2 linked regions of the Xenopus tropicalis genome follow. The main gene of each other region encodes a partner of the protein of the gene in region 2 in a complex. Links are inferred from orthologs where the notes say so. Each region holds a gene or a part of one and is shown on either strand. Other genes may lie near its edges.

Region 1 (5,070 bases), on a different chromosome or scaffold from region 2:
GCATGCTTTTACCCTTTATTATGTTAAAAAATGCCGATAGGTGCCATGGTTCTAAATTGTTTAAACACATTTGGGAGATACATTCTGGGGAGAAAGGTGAGAAACACCAATGTTGTCAAATGGAACACATAGGGCCGATCAAAACGCGAGTTTAGAGCTTAATAAAAACCCACCAACTTTCTATTCATTCCTATGGGATTTGTAGAAGTGTATTGATCAAACAGTGAGTTCTAAGTTTCACCCATTTATAAATAAGCTTCAAAAATTCCATAGAATTGAATATATATATATTTATAGAAAGCATTTGAAAAAAAAAATCCATGATTTGTGTTTACAAAACTCATTTTGTTAAAAGTAAAACTGCCCTTCTGGTATTCTTGTTTTGCCACAGTCTCCAACTTAATATTTAGAGGCACAACTACTGTTAGACAGACATACAAATCAGACAGGTACATATAAAAAACAATGCAGAATTTGGACGGTTTCCCTGAAAAGGATATATACTTCCCATTTAGAGATGTAAAAGCAACCCTGTTCTTGTGTTAGGCCTGCAGAACACAGTTGCATTACTAAATATCCTTCACAGAAAACGCCCAGTTAGGAAATCCAAAAACTCCAGGGCAAAAACTTGGAGGTACTGGTAGTCTGTAGCATGCATTCGAGCAGCGCAGAGGGATAGCACTACATCCAACATCGATGCAGTGTAGGTCAAAGGATTGTAGCCTCAGAATGCATAGCACTGTATAGATTACTATAGGCAGAAGATCTCTGCATATGTCAGTGGTAAAGTAGGTAGCCTTTAAGTGCAGCCGGTAGTGGAAGAGCTTGTATTTCGTTCAGTCTGTCTTTTCCCAATGCAAGGCGAACAGATCTTCGACACAGATCCATCAGTGGAAGTGGTTCAGCTACAGAAAAAGGAAAAAATCCGTTATAGACAGGACTTTAATGAGAGATTCACATTCACAATAAGTCATGACCATTTTTAGACTAAATGCACTGAATAAGTTTCGGGGAACAAATTTTGAAGAATGCATAAATACGGTGTTGTGTCTGAATACTAGTAAGGGATGCACAGGTTATTTCATACAGTAAAAAAAAGTTAAAAAGTGTATGCTAGCATGTATATAGCTCATCTAAAGTAAAAATTGTTGTTAGGCAGCACCCCTGAAGTCACACCTTACAAAATAAATGCATCATTTTATTAACACTTAGTGCATCTGCTTCAAAACAGGGTATGTAAGCCTTGCAGGATATCTGTTGTGCTTCTAAACTGGCAAGTTGCTGCCATTAGTGACCTAGCCAGTTATGCCCTCAATGAAGGCAACAGATGGTGGCATGCTTTGGGCTGGCATAAGCCAACCCAAAAGGAGCCACTGTATTTTGAGTGACAAAGAAAAGAGACGCTGGCAAATTGAAGCTGCCAATTTGTGTCCTTCAGACCAATTTGGCAGCCTGTCTGTGAAAGGGGAACCCCTATGGGCAGACATCAGATGGACGGGACCTGCAGGTTGGGGTCGACACAATATGGGTTGCGTACAGGTCAAGCTCTTTCTGCTGCTGTCCCTCTTTATAGACTTATTTTGTCACCAGCCTACAGGAGGCTATTTGGCAATACACCTGTTTTTTTTATGTCTCAAAAACTTGCCTCCAAGCCAGAAATTAAAAAAGCACCTACTTTAAGCAACATCCTGCCCCTGAGCCACTGGTTGCGGGATCAGTGGTATAATGTATGGTAACCTAAAGTAATATAACTGTAGCCTTTACAAAAAATGTCAGAGCTGCCAGATCAGTGACCAAGTCCACATTTTTATTCTGTAGTTTGAAGGAAATTTTCACTTACCCATATCACTAAAATAGTGCTGTCCTAATCATTGGGGCAAAATTCAAAGCCAAACTGTTCGGTTTTCTGGAATTTATGTTTTTACGTGATGGCCTGGGAAACTTAAAATTGTGGCTCTACTGTATACATAACTACTGTCACAAGTATTAACCAATTCTGTGCTGTTTATCCCTTCTATATATTTAGTAACCCAGAAATTGTGATTATAACTGCACTGAATAAACATTATCTATGATGTAAAGGTAAGTTTGCTGCAACGCCTTCGCTTTCAGAGCCTGCCTTGCCAGTGATTAATGGATTTTTTTGCCAGTTCACGGAGAGGGATGGGCGACAGAGGCCTTCTAATCTCCTGCTGTGTTTGCAAGCCTGTGATAGAAGTGCACTGGCTGAACTTGCAGTGAGCGAAAGTTGGTAGAGATGCCTGAGCCTAATCAATGATAATGTTATTTATTTAAAATCCACTTATATTCAAGTATCTAGGATATATGCTAATTGTTTAGAAGTGATAACGTAAAATTGATGTTACTGCGCATTTAACATGGAGCTATAATTAAGATTAACACAGGAGGGGGGTTTCACCTTTAGGTGAGAACATGAGGATTCTAGCAGCAGAGTTCAAGCTAGACTGAATGGGAGAGAGGTGGAAGCCTGAAAGGGCAATCAGCAGTTACGTTGCAGTATTCCACATGGTATAAAATACAGTATATGATACACCATCCAGGAAGCATGGAAAAGGAGAATTAGGCAAAACAGACAAGACTGAAAAAAATTATAAAACAGGAGAAGGATGGTGGAGATCAGAACAAGGAGAAAGGGAGAGCAAAACAAATCACATTTAGTGGTGTATTAAGACTGGAGACAATGTTGCTCATAGCAACCAATCAGATCTTTGCCATCGTTTTCTTACTTGTAGGTGACAGTTAGGGGCACATTTACTAATTCACGAACGCTGCGTTCAAACACTTTTTTCCGCGACTTTCGTATTTTTAGTGTGAAAAAAAAAATCGGATCGGTTTTGCCGCTGTTTACAATAATTTGCTACGAATAATTTTGTGACTTTCGGATCGCCAATACGATATTATTGTGACTAATACAATTTTTTCAGAAGCATTTTCGTGATATTTGCGATATTCAGATATTTGTTTCCAATCCGAATTTTTCCCATTCAGGACTGAAACTCGTGTTTTGATAAATCTGCCCCTTAGAATTTAATTGCTGCTTGGTTGCTATGGGCAATGTCACTGGTATTAAAATTGTAGACAAATATTAAAGTCACCCTTTTAACTATTCCTGTTAAATAAAATAATGGGTATTGGCAAAGTGGGTATGCTCCATTCATAATTTGCTAAATAATCCAATTTCTACATGAGTAGAAGTGATGTACATAAAAGGGCAGCTAAATTTCACAATATGCAATGGGATAATTTATCAACACTAGGGGGCACATTTACTAATCCACGAATGTCCGAAAGCGGTTTTTTCGTAATGATCGGTATTTTTGCAATTTTTTTAGTCGCCGTTACGACTTTATTGTATATTTTCCGCGACTTTTGTTGCCGTCGTGAAAAATTCAGATTGGTTTTTCTGCCGTTTACTATAGCGCAATACGAAAACATTGCGACGTCGACGAAATAATTGCGCAAAATACAATAAAGTCGCGACAAATACAAAATCGTGAAGGGGACGAAAAAAAAAAAAAAAAAAAAAAATCGCAAAATTTTCGTTTCCAATCCTTTTTTCCCCATTCGGGATTCGAGGATTAGTAAATGTGCCCCTAGGTGTGAATGTAGGTTCAGAATATTCGTGCAAGGGTACACTGTTCAAAATGTAGATATAACTAAGCAAGAATTCAAAGACAGCTGAAAAATCACAGGCCTTCAAGCAAACTGGTATATTAAGTGTGATATTAAATGTGTACTTACGGTCAAGTCCATTTAAGTATCGCATCTTTATTTCACAGTGACCCCACACTGCACTTACAACAGGATAAAGTTTTTTTCCCTTTAGTCCTCGAAAAGCTATTCCCATGTATTGTCCATCCACAACAAAGCTAAGTGTGCCATCGTCCATATCAAGTACCACCAAGAAGGAATCTGGGACAATAAATGTTTCATCAGGCTCCAGAAACGCAGGGTATGTTCTACTTGGCTGATTTTTCCCATCATGATATAGTTTATTCCTGCCCAGGTCCCAGCCCCAAGATTTGCCATTACTGCCTATAAGTGTTGTATAGCCAACAGAATGTAGAGGTGCATCTGCTGTAGCTACTCCAACAACAGCATGAGTCCCTCGCTGCCGCATAACCCAGGTAATCTCCCAAACATGCAAGCCACGTGTGTAACCAATTTTGCCACGAATAGCATCTGTGCTCTGTGCCACCGGATGCCGGTGAAAGACAAGTTTGTCATCCTCCTTCACAAACACATTTAGCGAGCGATCATTGTTATTCCAGGAGTGCTGAAGCTGTACTTCATGGGACACTGGAGGCATATCTAATAAAAGGTCGAGTCTTGCAGGCTTACAGTAATCAAGCCCTTGTAGATCTTGCTTTAGTGGTCTATATGCAGGGTCCCTCATATCTACTGTCTTTATACCTCCTGTGACTTTCTGACCCATGATACAAACCGATTTCACTTTAAGGAGCCAACAACAAGGTCATTCAGCTGGCCAGCCTTCACGTTTCCCTCCTTCCAAGGAACTGAAGCAACAGAGAACTCAGTTCAGTTTTACCACTTCACCTAGAGCAGGAAGAGAAGGTGACATAGGTCAGTCTTAAAATTGTTCACAATAAATCACAAGGCAGAAAAAAACATGTTATGATGTATACAAATATAACAAGGCACATGTGTACAGTCACCTGCAATAAATTACCACTGGCGACTGCACAAAATGACTTTCCACCAGCAAGAATCACTGGTGGGATGGCATACGAGTCAACCATTGTCAGAACTTCGACTTCCCCAAGAGCACATAAATACAATAAAATCCAGAACCAAATAATTTAAAAGTTTCTGCCATAAGGTCAAGTCATTTCCACACATGCAGAAGTGTCCACTGAACCATATGCTGACCCTACCATGCCTAAATGGGAACAGCACAAAGTAGGTTTACAAGGTCTGAACACTCAAGTGCCCAGGTTTAATAAAACTTGTGGATAAATTAAGCAAATCCTATCAGAGTACTTAAACAGAGTGGAAATCATGCCTTAGAGTAGAGGCTGGTACAAGTAC
Region 2 (5,070 bases):
AGATGAGCATGGGGGTCTTAAGAACACAAAGAAAACAAATGTTTTATATAACCTTACGTACACATTCGTCTGTACACCCCAATAAGGAGGAATTATGGGCAAACCTCAATGAACTTTTTCCCCAAACTCCAGAGAAACAGTCTGGCCTAGAAAGGTGATCTCCAGAAGCTAAATAAAATAGAAGGTCTTTAAGATGGACGGTGTTTTCAGTTGCAACAAACAGACAATGCAAAAGGAAGGGTGCCACATTTCTTCTTTATAAAGATATGAAACTGAGCAGGCTTGATGCAACTGAAAGGACTAATTGGCCTCTCTTCTGGTGCCATAGCTTTACACAGGTAAATGATGTACTAAAACGCCTCAAGCAGGAAAGATAGTCATCAGTCTAAAAAACCTGAGGGTGAGATTTAGAACTACAAAAAGACCTCTTAGATTTTCTGTGAATCATCTTTATCTATATCCCCAGCTGGAGTGGAGCATAACCAATAACCTCCTGGACTGCAGTTGTGGGTTGTTAATATTATGGGCTGAGGGCTGGCCTAACCACATGCAGGACCAATAAAACGCATACAACAACAAGCCTGATAACATGCAGCCTAAGGCCACATGCATATCTGCCTTTTTTGGTTGTGAATGTGATCTAGTTCATTGCACTGATTCAGAGTTATGTCTAATCAAATCCCACTTACAGCCTACAAGACTTGAATACTAGAGATGTGAATCAAGTTGGGAAATCAATAAGATTTCAAATAAGCCACATTATGCAATATACTGCAATCGATAATTTGTTTGAATCAACATGGTTTTATGGGCAATCTTCCACGTTTTCCAAAAAAAAATGGAATATTGAGTGAAGGGTTCTTATCAGTGACAATGCCAATGGTTGTAAGCTGGGCCCCTGGTAATCTGATCTATGCACATAGGAAAAGGGATGCAGGGTTTTTCCCACCAAATGTACATGTATTTAAATTCTGTCTGATTTCAAATGTGTTCCCCTTTATCTGATGACTTTATGCTGTAATAAAAAGCATTGTGCAAAGTGTAGTTCAAACTTTTAGTGAGTATGGCACTATGCCACACAAGCATACTTACTCTCTTTAGAGAGACTTGAACAAACAGCGAGAAAGCCTTACCTTGCAGATCTAGCAAGGCACCAATAAACGCCTTATTTCTTTAAAACATGTATAGCTGCTGCATTTTCTACATAGCTCCAAGTATCAACATACTGAATTCATGCTGCACTTGCATATCTCCAAAAGGTCCATTTTTTGCTGGAAAGTCCCTAACTGCTGACCCCCAAATGAGTGGGATTTACAGAAAAGTGAACTGGTGTTAAGGTAGATAACTGTATGCCTAATATGATCCTAGAAGAATCAGGGCATGGAGGAAGCACCTTGTTTTTAGGAACTGGAACGTTGGGAGGTATTCACTTGTTATTACTTTTTTTGTAAAGACAATGCAAAAACATATGTGTGGCCTTGGTGGAAAAGATCTGATGGTATAACAGCAACAGAAAAAAATAAAATGTGGTGGCACATGTGGCCTCTGTACACTCAAGGTTTCTTGGTTAATAAAAAAAAAAAAACGTACTGTCATTTTTTTTTGAAGACTAAGTACCCAAGGGCCTGTCCGTCAGATATCTATATAATAAACCGAGTGTGAAATCTCACACAGATAAATGTAAGGTACAAGAAAAACTAATCACCAATGGAAAAGTACAGACTTGTTCTGAATGACACTTTGCCATTATGATCTTTAATTATATATTGGAAAAAAAAAAAAGACACTGACAGTCTGCGGCCTGCTCCCTGGTCAGTCCCCCTTCTCCCCCACTGTCTTTTATTAACATAAACAAATTAGCAGCTATGTGATAGACTCCGCAAAAATTTAAATTCACTTTCAAAACTGTCCAAAATGGCAGTATCCGTTAAAGGATTTAGTAGCTCTTTCTGTATCAAGGCTCTTCAAGCAAATGTGTTTTTTAAGCAGACATGGTTTGTTTGGCACCATCTTAAAGGAAAAGGAAAGCCTAAGTCACTTGTGGTGTCAAAATGTTAGGCACCCCCAAGTGACTTAAATCGCTTACCTTTTACCCTGGGCTGGTGCCCCTGTTAAGAGAGAACAGCACCAGCCCGGGGTAGCTGCGAACGATCCTGTCTTCCGTGTTGGCGCATTGCGCATGCGCAGTACAGTGAAAAGCCGAACTTTAACAAGAAAGTCGCTTTTGACTCTAATGCGCATACAGTGGCCCAGGGATTTCGCCGCAGAAGAAACGTGGAAGAAGGAAGCGCTCGTTACAGGTACCCCAGGCTGGTGCTGTTTTCTACTAACAGGGGCACCAGCCAGGGTTAAAAGGTAGGCGATTAAAGTCACTTGGGGGTGCCTAACATTTTGGCATCCCCAAGTGACTTAGCCTTTCTTTCCCTTTAAGTAGTTGTTAGCAGTATACATTTACATAGTAGATACAGTTAAAAAAGATACATGTCCATCAAGCTTAATGTGTTGCAGTATGTATTTTATTATCAAATAATATTACCTGTAAAAATGAAATACTTTTTAAAAGCTCCATTACAGAAATAAATAAGAGTATGAGAACTATGATCCAGAAAATCAATAGCCAAAAAGCTCTGAATGGAATTCTCATTTCCCAAGTATGTTATTTAACTAAACAGTAGTTTTTGGCTGATTTCCTTTATAAAGGCCACAGCACTCCGTTATCGTTTAATATCATTATATTTTATAGGAGAAAAAAACGTTTTTTATAAAAACAAGTTGTTATTTAAAGGTAAGCTCTGTATTCTGGTGTAATACAGTAGAGCCTGATTTTAAGTACCTGGATTTAATGTTTTTATAGAATTTACACTATTTTTCGTGGCCATTTAGCGTAAAATCAGGTTCTACTATATTAGACTTTAAAAAAATAAAATGTGCATACCTACTGGTTATTGTAAAAGGCACTTTTGTAGCCCTCCATACATCAAAACCCTCTCAATGTAGCCCTTCACTGCTTTTGAATTTTATATGGCTACCTTACATGAAAACACAAAAGAGTTTTGCATTAAGTAAAATAACTTACTTCTACTGAGGGGATGTTAACCACTCCTGTAGACCTCCTCTTTTCTCGAAGCTTTCTCTTCTCAATCTGTCCCTTACCCTTCCTGGCACTAGGTCCACTGCAACTCTTCTTTTCTTTTGCCTTTGTGTGAGTTTCCTGTGAAACTGGTGGGGTGGACTCATCCTGCACGTTTCCTGCAGATACCCCATCTTGCACAGGACCAGGCACTTTCTTTTGCTGCATCACAGTAGATGGAACTATTGGATCCTCATCTGCCTTCTTATTTGCAGGACCTTTATTGATTGAGGGTGCTGCAGATACTGGGTTGTTTGTAGGTGCTGCATTGCAGTTACCATTGTTGTTCAACTCACTGCTAGCTTTATTGACAATGTCATTGCCTCCACATTCTCCTCCCCCTCCTCCTCCTGTGGCTGCTATCAGTAACTCATTTGCAAGCATTTTGGCTCTCATCTTCTCTCTCTTGGCTTTCCACTCCTCCAAGAAATCAGTTGTGTTAGAGGAAGATGGGTTGTGTGACTTGTATCCCCCACTTGCCATGTTGTCTCCAAGTCAATGATGATCACACAGGTCCACAAATCTTCAGTACATTAAATGGACACTTGACGAAAACAAGAGCACAAACATATAAGCATCTGTGGGAACGTAACCTTGAAGAGAAAAAAAAAAACACATCTGTCAATAACAGCTATTTTGTCCTGCTCATAGTAATCATTTAATAAAACTGCTACGTTTCAACAATATAATAATATCTCTGGAGAGTTAAAGGGATGAACTCTGTGTCTTTTTATGCAGACCATAAGTTAGACAGCATCCCTTACTATGTTCAGATGCCAATGGGAGTGGGTCTACTGCTTGACTGATGAGACATTCTCTGTGCCTCTCAGTTTTCTTTAGACACCTGATAAGCAGTGGCAAGCATTAGGACTGCTCCAGCCTCTGCAAAGAAGCAGAGTGAAATTAGCTATACTGGAAAAAAAGAAAGTAGCCCTAGTTATTAATGTAATTGTTTAGTAATATTTAAAAAAATAATTAAATAATAGAACAAATAACAGGTTTAAAGGGGTGGTTCACCTTTAAGTTAACTTTTAGTATGTTATAGAATGGCCAGTTATAAGCAACATTTCAACTGGTCTTCATTATTATTGCAGAACAAATCCTGAAATAATTAAAAAACTACAAATAAAAAAATAAGACCAATTGCAAATTGTCTGAGAATCTCACTTTCTATATCATAATAAAAGTTAACCCAAAGGTGAACAACCCCTTTAAGTGTGATGTTCATCTTCCTAAATTTGCCCTAGCCACCAGGAAGTGGTTTGAATGAGAGAAAGGAAGATGAATAGGTGAGTCGCTGAAGAGAGATATAAGCAATACAAAGTACCAATGCAATTGAAGCATCCCAGAGCAATAGTTTTTTTTACTCCTAGGGTCAATATCACTCATATGCAAGCTGGAAAAAGACAGAACTCAAAAACTATTAAAAATTAAATCCAATTTAAAGGTTGCTAAGAATAGGACATAACATATCATACTAAAAGGTAAACTATGCCTTTAACAGCTGGATATCAGGCTATTGTAAAAAAAAAAAAATGCCTTAACTGCTGAAACAAAGTAATGTATTGCTTGTCTCTGAAGTAACAAGGATTAAATAAATCAAATTTACAGGGAGGAAGCAAGGAAAAGAACAGCCTTTTCCTTAACAATGTTTTGGTGTCCCAGAATTTAAAGATAAGCAAACCTCCACTCAGCAGCCAAAAAAAAATCATGAGAACTGGACATCAAACGCACAGCTTGTTACCAGCTTAAGGGGCATATCTGAATTGTGCCAGTAATACAAAGCACATGCCGTTTCTATTCAATTTTCTGCTGCCATCACAACAATCAGATCTTTTGCCCTGTTGCATGTGCCCTTCCTTATCCAAAACCCTGACTACAACTGCAGCTATTTGGTATACAAAGGTACTGATGCTGTGCTGCTTGTTTCGTCAAACTGA

The links. Proteins that work in one complex are often made in the same cells at the same time.
Region 1: the proteins of pawr (region 2) and spsb1 are in contact, whole or in part, in a crystal structure (PDB 2JK9), measured with the Homo sapiens proteins. The link is inferred for Xenopus tropicalis from reciprocal best matches to the Homo sapiens genes PAWR and SPSB1. Residues at the interface, in NP_001341661.1 of Homo sapiens: Glu68, Leu69, Asn70, Asn71, Asn72, Leu73, Pro74; in NP_079382.2 of Homo sapiens: Arg77, His78, Pro79, Val80, Ala81, Gln82, Gly110, Thr111, Tyr129, Val216, Trp217, Gly218.

Annotation. Positions count from the first base shown.
Region 1 is NC_030683.2:89,874,423-89,879,492, reverse strand, and holds part of spsb1 (SPRY domain-containing SOCS box protein 1), read right to left. Parts: intron 4,579-5,070; 5' UTR 4,457-4,578; coding exon 3,763-4,456; intron 906-3,762; coding exon 778-905; 3' UTR 1-777. UniProt on the Homo sapiens protein: Substrate recognition component of a SCF-like ECS (Elongin BC-CUL2/5-SOCS-box protein) E3 ubiquitin-protein ligase complex which mediates the ubiquitination and subsequent proteasomal degradation of target proteins.
Region 2 is NC_030679.2:62,531,076-62,536,145, forward strand, and holds part of pawr (PRKC apoptosis WT1 regulator protein), read right to left. Parts: intron 3,724-5,070; exon of another isoform or gene 3,675-3,723; 5' UTR 3,614-3,674; coding exon 3,077-3,613; intron 1-3,076. UniProt on the Homo sapiens protein: Pro-apoptotic protein capable of selectively inducing apoptosis in cancer cells, sensitizing the cells to diverse apoptotic stimuli and causing regression of tumors in animal models.